Saccharomyces cerevisiae S288C: one gene and its partners. Changing the gene in region 4 together with the main gene of any one other region gives a genetic interaction. Each region holds a gene or a part of one and is shown on either strand. Other genes may lie near its edges. The genes, in order: CAF16, TEN1, CAK1 and KIN28.

What was found.
Region 1: mutations in KIN28 (region 4) and CAF16 together harm fitness more than expected from each alone (negative genetic interaction), as found in Saccharomyces cerevisiae (2 studies listed by BioGRID).
Region 2: mutations in KIN28 (region 4) and TEN1 impair growth when combined (synthetic growth defect), as found in Saccharomyces cerevisiae (one study listed by BioGRID).
Region 3: mutations in KIN28 (region 4) and CAK1 are lethal when combined (synthetic lethality), as found in Saccharomyces cerevisiae (3 studies listed by BioGRID, with this or other methods).

The regions. Positions count from the first base shown.
Region 1 is NC_001138.5:78,844-82,029, reverse strand, and holds CAF16 (putative ATP-binding cassette family ATPase CAF16), read left to right. Parts: upstream 1-1,816; coding exon 1,817-2,686; downstream 2,687-3,186. Other genes in the region: GTPase-activating protein GYP8, read left to right, coding at 118-1,611; cyclin-dependent protein kinase-activating kinase CAK1, read left to right, coding at 2,869-3,186.
Region 2 is NC_001144.5:166,820-169,468, reverse strand, and holds TEN1 (Ten1p), read left to right. Parts: upstream 1-1,666; coding exon 1,667-2,149; downstream 2,150-2,649. Other genes in the region: LOT6 (flavin-dependent quinone reductase), read right to left, coding at 1-366; RLP24 (ATPase-activating ribosome biosynthesis protein), read right to left, coding at 2,333-2,649. UniProt on the Saccharomyces cerevisiae protein: Has a role in telomere length regulation and telomere end protection. Acts as an inhibitor of telomerase loading through its interaction with CDC13.
Region 3 is NC_001138.5:77,555-80,719, forward strand, and holds CAK1 (cyclin-dependent protein kinase-activating kinase CAK1), read right to left. Parts: upstream 1,608-3,165; coding exon 501-1,607; downstream 1-500. Other genes in the region: AGX1 (alanine--glyoxylate transaminase), read left to right, coding at 1-434; putative ATP-binding cassette family ATPase CAF16, read right to left, coding at 1,790-2,659; GTPase-activating protein GYP8, read right to left, coding at 2,865-3,165.
Region 4 is NC_001136.10:265,803-269,199, reverse strand, and holds KIN28 (TFIIH complex serine/threonine-protein kinase subunit KIN28), read right to left. Parts: upstream 1,503-3,397; coding exon 1,475-1,502; intron 1,394-1,474; coding exon 501-1,393; downstream 1-500. Other genes in the region: MSS2 (Mss2p), read right to left, coding at 1-279; YDL109C (putative lipase), read left to right, coding at 1,999-3,397. UniProt on the Saccharomyces cerevisiae protein: Catalytic component of the TFIIK complex (KIN28-CCL1 dimer) which is the protein kinase component of transcription factor IIH (TFIIH) and phosphorylates the C-terminal domain of RNA polymerase II during transition from transcription to elongation after preinitiation complex (PIC) formation, thereby positively regulating transcription.

The DNA of each region.
Region 1 (3,186 bases), on a different chromosome or scaffold from region 4:
TAGCTAAATTTTTCCTTTTTTCTCTCTGGGAAGGGAAGATTATCTTGAATTGGCAAAGTAAAGAAATAAAGAGAAAATTTAGCAAATGACATAGAACAAGCCAATTAACAAAATACGATGCCATTAAGGTCATTATTTCATACTAATCAGAGTAGCCACGACAAAGACGCGTTGACAAGGGGAGGTTATAACGCATATCTGGAATCACTTTCTCGTTGTGACAGTGGAAAGGCAGAAGAACAAAAAGGAAAAGTTATATCAAAGTTATTAGAGAAAAAAGATGTCCGAGCTTTGAGGTACATAGGTTTAGGGCCTCTGGGGTTTGTAAACAACTCATTAAGAAAAGATTGTTGGTATGAATTATTGGCGTCCCAGTTGCTTATTGATGATGCAACAGAGTACATTACACCAGTGGAAAAACATAAAGATGAAGGTCAGGTGATATTGGATGCAGAAAGGTCTTTTGGTGGAATTGTCGACAAAAACTTGAAACTGCAATTGAGAAAACTACTGGTGGAGTTAATTACTCGGGTATTGAGAAAGTACCCAACGTTGAACTATTACCAAGGTTATCATGATATTGTGTCTGTTTTCATCATGTGTTTTAGTTGGAATGTCACAAAAGAGAACGGACTGGAACTAGAAAATCTCTCATTGCAAGAAGAAATTGATATGGAAAGGCTGTTTTATTGCATCGAAGCATTTACCCTATTATATCTGAGGGATTTCATGATGAACTCACTAGATTTTTCATTTGAGCAATTGAGAGTAATCTCTTCATTGATAAAGGAATCAAACATGAAATTCTATAATCTATTCAAATTTGACGAAAATGAGCCCCTTTTCGCTATTGGGTCAATATTGACAATCTTTGCACATAATTTGAAACCTATAGATAGCGGTGACAACAATCTTCATAAAATTCTTTTCCAGATATTTGACATGACAATATCGATGCAATCTATGCGTTTACCTTTGATCATATACAAGAACCTGCTATTGCAAAATGCGTCTGAAATTTCGAAGCAAATAGAAGCTAATTCTGATTTCTTCGAGAACGATTTTGACCTGCGCCATGGTGCTATACAAACAGTTTTACAGAAAAAACTGTATGATGAGGCGCTTTGGGAAGAAGTCTTGCAAATAACTAGAAAAGATGCGACTACTGCCAGCAAGAAGGCTTTGAAACGGGTGAGTCTTAATAAATATAGTGCATTACTCAATACAGCATGTGGAAAGCCAGGATGCTTCGATATGAGCACCATTATCTTCTATTTGAGCGAACAAACAAAGATGAACGAGCATTACAAGGAAGAAAAGTATCATGGTGTCGCCGCCAGATCCAAGACAAGGGCGTTGGTCCAAAGACTTGGCCATTTTTTACCCTCCAAATATAACAGGTGGAGCAAAATTTCTTTACTTATCGGGATTGTAGCTATCCTGTACCAATTACGGACTACAAGGTCGTTGAGTTTAGTACTCAATCTACGTTACATGATCTCCACAAAGTTGAAAGACTTATCACATATAAATATAAATTTGCACCACGTTAGTCACATCTGGGTGGATCCGATTAGGGACATTTTGAAACTGGGGCATCCAACTAGATAGCATACAATATACCTTATATACCCATGACATAGAAACAAACTCATATGTAAGGTATTATTATAAAGTGCTTCTTTAAAATTCGCTGCGGAAATTTCTTCGAGGATGACTCAAATAAGAAAAAACGAAAATTCTGAAAGAGAGATTTTTAGTATGGAGAAAACCAGTACTCCTGCATAAGATATCAAGATATTAGATAACTCTCAAGATGGTTTCCCAATTTGCTATTGAGGTGCGTAACCTAACGTACAAATTCAAAGAAAGCTCCGATCCGTCAGTTGTTGATATCAATCTTCAAATCCCATGGAATACAAGATCTTTAGTTGTGGGTGCCAATGGTGCTGGTAAATCCACCCTTTTGAAATTACTAAGCGGTAAGCATCTTTGCCTTGATGGAAAAATCCTGGTCAATGGTCTTGATCCATTCAGTCCATTATCTATGAATCAAGTGGACGATGATGAAAGTGTTGAAGATTCGACGAACTACCAAACGACCACTTATCTAGGTACGGAATGGTGCCATATGAGTATCATTAATAGGGATATCGGCGTCTTGGAACTATTAAAAAGTATTGGATTCGATCATTTTAGGGAAAGAGGTGAAAGATTGGTTAGAATCCTGGACATCGATGTACGTTGGAGAATGCACAGGTTAAGTGATGGACAAAAGAGAAGAGTTCAGTTAGCCATGGGGCTCTTGAAACCTTGGAGAGTTTTACTACTTGATGAGGTCACTGTGGATCTCGATGTTATTGCCAGAGCAAGACTTCTGGAGTTTTTAAAGTGGGAGACCGAAACCAGAAGATGCTCAGTGGTCTACGCTACACATATTTTTGACGGCTTGGCCAAATGGCCTAACCAAGTATACCATATGAAATCAGGTAAGATTGTGGATAATTTAGATTATCAGAAAGACGTAGAGTTCTCTGAAGTGGTCAATGCTAAAGTTAATGGACAAGTGGCCTTTGAAAATGACAACAATAAGGTTGTTATTAGTAAAGTGAATAGTTTGCATCCATTAGCACTAGAATGGTTGAAACGTGATAATCAAATTCCTGACAAAGAGATTGGTATATAACTGAGTATATATAACTGCAAAGACCCCCTGTATAGAAAATATGTATCTTAGTGGAAAATGTGATTTGACTATTTAAGTTATAGAAGTAGTTTGTGATCCTAAAAAAAGGAAAACGACAGAAGTCTCATAGAAGCAAAGAGGCCAGATGAAGAAGAGAGGCAACAAAATTCACGCCCATCTTAATGAAACTGGATAGTATAGACATTACACACTGTCAGTTGGTCAAATCTACTAGAACTGCTAGGATTTATAGGTCGGATACATATGCCATTAAATGTCTAGCACTAGATTTCGATATCCCGCCACATAACGCCAAATTCGAAGTATCGATATTAAACAAACTGGGCAACAAATGTAAGCACATCTTACCTCTTCTAGAGTCTAAGGCTACCGATAATAATGACCTATTGTTGTTGTTTCCCTTTGAAGAGATGAACCTTTATGAGTTCATGCAAATGCACTATAAAAGAGATAGAAGAAAAAAAAATCCCTATTACGAT
Region 2 (2,649 bases), on a different chromosome or scaffold from region 4:
TACCACCAGGGCAGGTTTTCCGTGCCATTCATGGTAAAGACGATCAATTGCATTTTTTAAGGCTGCTGGATACCCCCAATTATATTGAGGTGTAACGAATACAATAATATCTAATGCATTTACGATGCGACTCCACGATCGAGTTTTGCTGTCTGCATACTCATCCACGCTCTTTATTTGCGCAGGGATCAGTTCGTCATCATCTTCATATAAGGGAAGAGCAATCTGTTGTAAATCTACTACTTGTATTTTCAGCTTCTGGTCTATTAATTCTTCGCTATTTTCAATTGTACGTTTTACGTATGCTGCAATTTCTGGGCATACCCTCTTTGCCCTCACAGAACCCATTATAATACCCACTTTCATGTTTAATGCGGTTGTCGACTAAGCACCTCAGCTGGTAATGGAGATGACCAAGTAACTAATTAACAATTGATAGATATACAACTTTCCCTTTTCAATAGGCATGTCAAATCTTTCGATTTTTTTTGATTTTGCACCTTCTTTGATTCATATTTACATTCGTAACCATGTGAGATGCTCAAATGTTATGATACTGACGGGTAATAAACAACGGGGGCACCACTCAAAGAAAAAAGCAGCTTATCTGTAGAATCTACACAGGGTTATGCCAAGAATGGAATTACAACAATTGCCTTGAATTCAAATCAGATACAAAAAATAGCATAAAATAGTAGGGTCAAACAACAGACCAAGACGAGACTGTAATCATCATGTTGTAATAAGAATCATGTATTAACTATCGACTAGTATTCATGTCAGTAGTATATACTGTCATATACAGTGTAACGTGGGGACATTAATTTTGATGACTTTTTTATGTCCTCACGTTACACCGCATGTGACGGTATACTGGTAACACAAATACTACTAAACAGATGGTATTTTACAGTTTCATTCCAACAAAAGCATGAAGTGTAATTAAAAAAATGCTTTCTTGGCTTGTATTCATCTAATTCATTTGATCATAGCATGTGCTCTATATTGTAATGGCCAAGCTCGGCGTTAAAGTTTTTAGTTGACATATTTATCATCTTGTGTAATATTTAACATAAAATAGGTTAAATTATTGTATCTCAAAATGAGATACGTCAGCCTGACAATACATTATCCTAAACGTTCATAAAATACATATGAAACAATCCTATAACAAAACGAACAACATGAGATAAAACCCGGCCTCCCTTAGCCAAACTACCCAAACATATAAATGCCTGAACAATTAGTTTAGATCCAAGATCCGTGCTTCCACCATTTAGTATGATTCATATTTTATATGATATAGGACAGTTAACATTCCTTGAATCAAGCTGATAATCCGTTTTGACAACTGGTTACTTCTCGAAGACTGTTTATATTAGGATTGTCAAAACACCCCAGTATTATTTGGGCTCGTAATATGATATAAATCAATAGTCATATGGCAACTTGGCCGAGTGGTTAAGGCGAAAGATTAGAAATCTTTTGGGCTTTGCCCGCGCAGGTTCGAGTCCTGCAGTTGTCGTTATTTTTTCTTTTTCTTTTTTTTTTCTCTGAAGCAGAGATGGAGAATAATGAATGCCCTTATTCTAGGACATAATTCACTATATTGTATTGGTTACATACAGCTCTATTTGCTCTTTTTAGAGAACTACGACAGTGTTATATGAGCCAGTTAGTTCTAGACTTAAAATGTTTGAAGGATAAAATAGCAACGAATTACGATATTCATAACAATGTTTACGGTGGAAACGGAATGGAACCAAACATTATTCATCCGTCCAAAAGATTCAGGATTGTTGTTCGATTAGTAGATTTCTTGTTCTGTAAATCGGATGAAGAATTCATTAAAGGTTTTTTCTGTCAAATGATAGTTAGAAATCTTCATTGCCTCAATTCAACAAATGGCGCAGAGGAGATGCGTTTGTATATGAGCGAAAGATTATTTTCAGCCCATAAAGATGATTTGAGATTGATAAATGGGCAGGTACTGGATGTTCGCATTGGGGTATGGTATGGAATACACCAAAGTCCGCCAATTTTTGAAATCATTGATTTTAAGATACTATCCAGGAATGACGTTCGTGATTTCTGTGAATTTGTCAAATCACCACTTGGTGAGAAGTTTCTGAACATCTCTAACTCCTAAGTCAGACGTTTGGCATATACTGAGATTATATAATACCTTTGATAAGAATGTAAGAGGACCCTTGAAAATAGTTATTGTAATGTTATGTAATGTAAATAATAGTATACAGGTGATTCTTATTTATCCCATGAAATAAGTATGAGAAAAGAAAGGAAAGAGGCAATTAGCCCGGTTCTGTTCTAACTAAAAAGCAATTTTCTTTGTATTTCTTCTTCTGTTCTTTAGCAGAATCTTTTGCTTTTCCAATTGTTCTTCCTCTTCCTCGTCACTGTCGATTTCCATATCCTCCTCTTCTTCTTCAGATTCCTCTTGTTCGGATACTGATTCAGCTCTTTCTTGTTCTTTAGCCAACTTTCTGGCAATTTCAACTTCTCTGATTCTCAATAATTCTGGGTTAGATTCGACCAATTTCTTATCTCTTAAGAAGTCCTTTTCTTTGTTACCTCTCATTCTATTCTTGTAGAAGGCTCTTTCACGTTTTTGTCTAATTTCTTCGATTC
Region 3 (3,165 bases), on a different chromosome or scaffold from region 4:
CACCAATAATGGAAAATTATGAGGCTGGTAAAGGAGCTTATTTTGCAACCCCACCCGTACAACTAATTAATAGCCTTGATGTAGCCTTGAAAGAAATTCTCGAAGAGGGGTTGCATAAGAGATGGGATTTGCACCGTGAAATGAGTGATTGGTTTAAAGACAGTTTGGTTAATGGCTTGCAATTGACATCCGTCAGTAGGTATCCTTCTAACATGTCTGCGCACGGGTTGACAGCCGTATACGTAGCAGATCCTCCTGATGTCATTGCTTTTTTAAAGTCACACGGTGTAGTCATTGCCGGAGGTATTCACAAGGACATCGGACCCAAGTATATCCGTATTGGACATATGGGTGTGACCGCTTGCAACAAGAATTTACCGTACATGAAGAACTGCTTCGACTTAATAAAACTAGCTCTTCAGAGGAAAAAGTGATTACCCTCGTACTTTTCATTTCATATATATATATATATATATATATGTACCTATATATTCTTCTTATTATGGCTTTTCTAATTCTTGCAAGATTCTTTGACAGCTCCATCTTTCGTTTGGTGAAAATGAAACCATCCCCAGGATACAATTAATGAACTTCTGCTTGACTTTGACATCCGCAATCTCGTCCAGTCGAGGCATATTCCTCTCAACAATGCTAATCTGTACATCTTTCTCCTGGTCCAGTACATACTTGCCATCGCCATCTGCACCAAACATACCAACAAATGCATCAACCGAGCCGTGTTGCGCAACCTCTTCCCATTTCTGAATGGACGGTATGCCCAACTTTTCGAATATTGAGCAAATCAGTCTGAAATCGCTTCCATCTGAGTTCATGTCGTCGCTGCCGTCATCAATCATGGCCGGAACGTGCCCCATACGGCTTGTTTCTCTCTGGAACCACTGAGAAATAATTATCAACAACGACCACACGTCCACGCCACCATCATAGCATTTTACTCCAAAAAGCACTTCTGGGGCCTTGTAAATTCCTGTGCTTATATCCGTCACCTTGCTATCCATGGGTTCCGCACTTGTTTGTGAGTTATTTGCCATGTCATAAGAGATGCCAAAATCAATTATGTACAACTTTGGGGATACGGTGCTGGTATTGTTTGTTAGCATGATATTTTGCGGTTTGATGTCGCGGTGAATGATCTTGTTCTCATGTAAGAATGCAATCCCTTCAACCATTTGCCGGAAAAAGGACAAAGAATACCGATTGACGTCCAATTGATTAGTATATTTCTGAACGGGGGGGTCCGCAACAATTGGGATACTGGGATTTAGCAAATCGTAATAGGGATTTTTTTTTCTTCTATCTCTTTTATAGTGCATTTGCATGAACTCATAAAGGTTCATCTCTTCAAAGGGAAACAACAACAATAGGTCATTATTATCGGTAGCCTTAGACTCTAGAAGAGGTAAGATGTGCTTACATTTGTTGCCCAGTTTGTTTAATATCGATACTTCGAATTTGGCGTTATGTGGCGGGATATCGAAATCTAGTGCTAGACATTTAATGGCATATGTATCCGACCTATAAATCCTAGCAGTTCTAGTAGATTTGACCAACTGACAGTGTGTAATGTCTATACTATCCAGTTTCATTAAGATGGGCGTGAATTTTGTTGCCTCTCTTCTTCATCTGGCCTCTTTGCTTCTATGAGACTTCTGTCGTTTTCCTTTTTTTAGGATCACAAACTACTTCTATAACTTAAATAGTCAAATCACATTTTCCACTAAGATACATATTTTCTATACAGGGGGTCTTTGCAGTTATATATACTCAGTTATATACCAATCTCTTTGTCAGGAATTTGATTATCACGTTTCAACCATTCTAGTGCTAATGGATGCAAACTATTCACTTTACTAATAACAACCTTATTGTTGTCATTTTCAAAGGCCACTTGTCCATTAACTTTAGCATTGACCACTTCAGAGAACTCTACGTCTTTCTGATAATCTAAATTATCCACAATCTTACCTGATTTCATATGGTATACTTGGTTAGGCCATTTGGCCAAGCCGTCAAAAATATGTGTAGCGTAGACCACTGAGCATCTTCTGGTTTCGGTCTCCCACTTTAAAAACTCCAGAAGTCTTGCTCTGGCAATAACATCGAGATCCACAGTGACCTCATCAAGTAGTAAAACTCTCCAAGGTTTCAAGAGCCCCATGGCTAACTGAACTCTTCTCTTTTGTCCATCACTTAACCTGTGCATTCTCCAACGTACATCGATGTCCAGGATTCTAACCAATCTTTCACCTCTTTCCCTAAAATGATCGAATCCAATACTTTTTAATAGTTCCAAGACGCCGATATCCCTATTAATGATACTCATATGGCACCATTCCGTACCTAGATAAGTGGTCGTTTGGTAGTTCGTCGAATCTTCAACACTTTCATCATCGTCCACTTGATTCATAGATAATGGACTGAATGGATCAAGACCATTGACCAGGATTTTTCCATCAAGGCAAAGATGCTTACCGCTTAGTAATTTCAAAAGGGTGGATTTACCAGCACCATTGGCACCCACAACTAAAGATCTTGTATTCCATGGGATTTGAAGATTGATATCAACAACTGACGGATCGGAGCTTTCTTTGAATTTGTACGTTAGGTTACGCACCTCAATAGCAAATTGGGAAACCATCTTGAGAGTTATCTAATATCTTGATATCTTATGCAGGAGTACTGGTTTTCTCCATACTAAAAATCTCTCTTTCAGAATTTTCGTTTTTTCTTATTTGAGTCATCCTCGAAGAAATTTCCGCAGCGAATTTTAAAGAAGCACTTTATAATAATACCTTACATATGAGTTTGTTTCTATGTCATGGGTATATAAGGTATATTGTATGCTATCTAGTTGGATGCCCCAGTTTCAAAATGTCCCTAATCGGATCCACCCAGATGTGACTAACGTGGTGCAAATTTATATTTATATGTGATAAGTCTTTCAACTTTGTGGAGATCATGTAACGTAGATTGAGTACTAAACTCAACGACCTTGTAGTCCGTAATTGGTACAGGATAGCTACAATCCCGATAAGTAAAGAAATTTTGCTCCACCTGTTATATTTGGAGGGTAAAAAATGGCCAAGTCTTTGGACCAACGCCCTTGTCTTGGATCTGGCGGCGACACCATGATACTTTTCTTCC
Region 4 (3,397 bases):
TTTGTGGACGAATTTGTTCTGCGTCCTTAGAGTTATCAAGACGTTTCGCATCTGCATAATGTCTGAACTCCTTATATAGGGGTATTTCTTCCTCCATGGGATATTCTCTTCATTAGTATTTTGTGATACCTGCAGAAATATCGGGTACATTTCATGGTATGTAAGCCTTGTATCTAACTGGAATAAAATTTTGTTAACCGTACGTTTCTTCGGGAAAATCTCTTGAAACTTTTTGGGTACTGGTGGTGTGGAAACAAACTTACTGACAAACCTCTGCATATTTTAGATCAGATATTTCTTGCTTTTGTTTTCGTTTTCGTCTGCTACTGTTTGTCTCCCCTCATATTGTTGTTGTTAAAATCTAAAAACGAATTCCATAATGATGGAAAAGAGTTAAAATTCAACACCAAAAAACAAGACGCATCAAGAAGTTTATTTGTATATGTTGAGGATACATCTAATGTCAATAACACAGATTCTACAAATTTTATAAAATCATATCAGTTACGTATTTTTATTGAAGACGGGTCACTTGGTGGTGGTAATTCTTTGAAATAATCACTTTCTAAACACTGAACAGCGGTCCACCTCTTTTGTGGGTTCATCGTTAGCATTCCACACATAAAATCTAAGGCGTATTCGCTAGCAGCAATGAACCTTTTCCTCAATTCATCTCTTGAAGGGGGCGGATATATTTGTAACTTGTTATACGTCATAAAGGAAGAAACTTCGGGCCAATCTCTATCTGTAGGTGTCCCTAAGGCCCTGAACGTTACTTCCATTTGATCGACATCATTCTGTCCTGGTAAATAAGGTATCCTTAGCATTAATTCCGCGAATATAACGCCTACTGACCAGATATCAATAGCCGATGTGTAATGTTTAGCTCCAAACAACAATTCTGGCGCTCTATACCATCTTGTTACGACGTTACTTGTCAGTATCTCATGTGGGGCCGGTATCGCCCTTGCTAGACCGAAATCTGCTACTTTTATCTGGCCATCAGGTGAAAATAATAAATTGTTTGGTTTCAGATCCCTGTGCAAAATGAAATTTCTGTGGCAATGATACACGCCCCTCAAAGTCATAAGCATCCATGCCTTAATATCTGCTGGTGTAAACAGTATTGATTTGTCTTTTATTACCACCTCTAGATCAGTTGGTAGGAACTCCAGAACGAGATTTAAATTATCATAAGCCATAAATATGTCTATTAGTTCTATGACGTTCGGATGCTGCATTTCTTGGAGGTACTTAACTTCACGGATAGCTGACATATCTAAACCATCTTTAAATTCGGATGTTTTGATCTCCTTAATAGCAATCTTTCTTCCAGTAGAGTGTTGACAACCCAAGTAAACAACCGCATAAGTACCCTCACCAACTTTCTTTTCTGCGATGAATCATCATTAATCAACGTTAGTATCATTATTGAATGTTAAAAGAAAGACGACAATATATAACCCCCACATACCCTTTGTGTACTCCATATTCACTTTCATATGTTCGCTCTGAGGCCGGGAATATTTTTTTTGATGACTTTTAAGTAACTGTGATTTCACTTGTATTTTTTTTCAATGTGTTTTTTGAATCTACTTGTAATATTCTCTGCACAATGCTTCAAATGAAGCTTCACATCATAACACAAAAAAAATTGTAGGTTCATCCAATGGACGAATCTTTCTTAAGGCTTATGCTTGAAGACCATTTCTATATACCAAAAAATTACAAACTGGCAAGATTGATGTCTTATTGAAACTGAAAATCTTTCAAATTAGAGGGTGATTTTCAATTACAATTGACAACTAAGCCGACTTCCCCTGAAACCGCTTCTGAATTCTTACAAATTTCTCTTGGAGGATTTGTTCAAGGTAGTGTGGTATGTTTTTAGCGTATTAACAGCAAGCGTTGTGTCTGCAAACAAAGAGAAAAAATATCAGTACAAAAAATGCTCACCTGACCTTATTCACCCAAAAACATCGGGGAAACGGTAGTAATATGGAAGCTGGCAGGAGTGCTGATGAAGTGCTATACCACAATCAGTCGTCAGTAAAGTTAGGTGAGTTAGAAAGATACGTTATTACATATGAGCTATACCAGGGTGATAGTATTCCCGCTGATATCACACTGGATTCCCTATGGGTAAAGATCAAAAATACCACAAAGCTATCCTATAAACCAGCCTATCTATTGGGCCCATTTATCTTATATTGTGACGTGCGAGCAAAAGATTACGAAAGCTCGTATAAGATCATATGTTCGGCGGATAAACCAGTATTTCAATCAAACCTACAGGCACAACAAAAGTTTATTGCAGAGTTGTCCTTGCACCACATTAAGCCACGCTATGTATGGATAGTGGATATTGTCAGTCAAATACTATTTAATAAAGAAACTAAGGTAACTTTTGAGATAGTAGTCGGCAATTCAAAGGCCTCTTTGAAAAGAAAAATACGATGTAATGATTCATTGCCTGATAAAGCCTGCAATATTTTACACACAGGATTATCGGTGCATAGACTTACCACCGCAGATATATGGAAAGTACCACGACCCATAGACATGTCGCAAAAATCCCATTTAGTCATTCTCACGCATGGTTTTCAATCAAACGTTTCGGCAGATATGGAATACTTAATGGAAGAAATATACAAGGCTCAAATGAACAATCCAAATGAGCGACTAGTTATTAAGGGATATATGAAGAATGCTTGTGAGACTGAGAAGGGTATTAAGTTTTTGGGTGTTGGATTGGCAAACTACATCATCGACGAGTTATATGATGACTCTGTTGGGAAAATTTCATTTATTGGTCATTCCCTGGGTGGATTAACACAAACTTTTGCTATTTGTTACATAAAGACCAAATATCCATATTTCTTTAAGAAAGTGGAGCCAATCAATTTTATCTCACTGGCGTCACCATTGCTAGGCATTGCTACCAGCACGCCCAATTACGTAAAAATGTCATTGTCGATGGGTATCATTGGTACTACGGGGCAAGAACTGGGTCTTAAGGATGGAAATTATGGTGATAAGCCCCTACTTTACCTGCTATCCGAGGAATCCTTAATCAGTGTGCTTGCTCGATTCAAAAGAAGAACACTTTATGCTAATGCCGTCAACGACGGAATAGTTCCCTTGTACTCCTCTTCTTTACTTTTTTTGGACTACTCTCAATTACTTCAGAAACTGGGAGGTCAAACTACGGCACCTTGTGATCCTCTCTTCCAGCCTGAAGTAAGTCCTATTGGGGAACTTCCAAATCATAGCGATGTTGCTAATGATGATGATGGAATCAATGCATCGTCATGGAACACGTTTTGGAAGAGCAAGGAAAATAACTGCGACAAGAAATCTAAACGCTTGATGAATGCTTCCGTCATCAAATCTATGA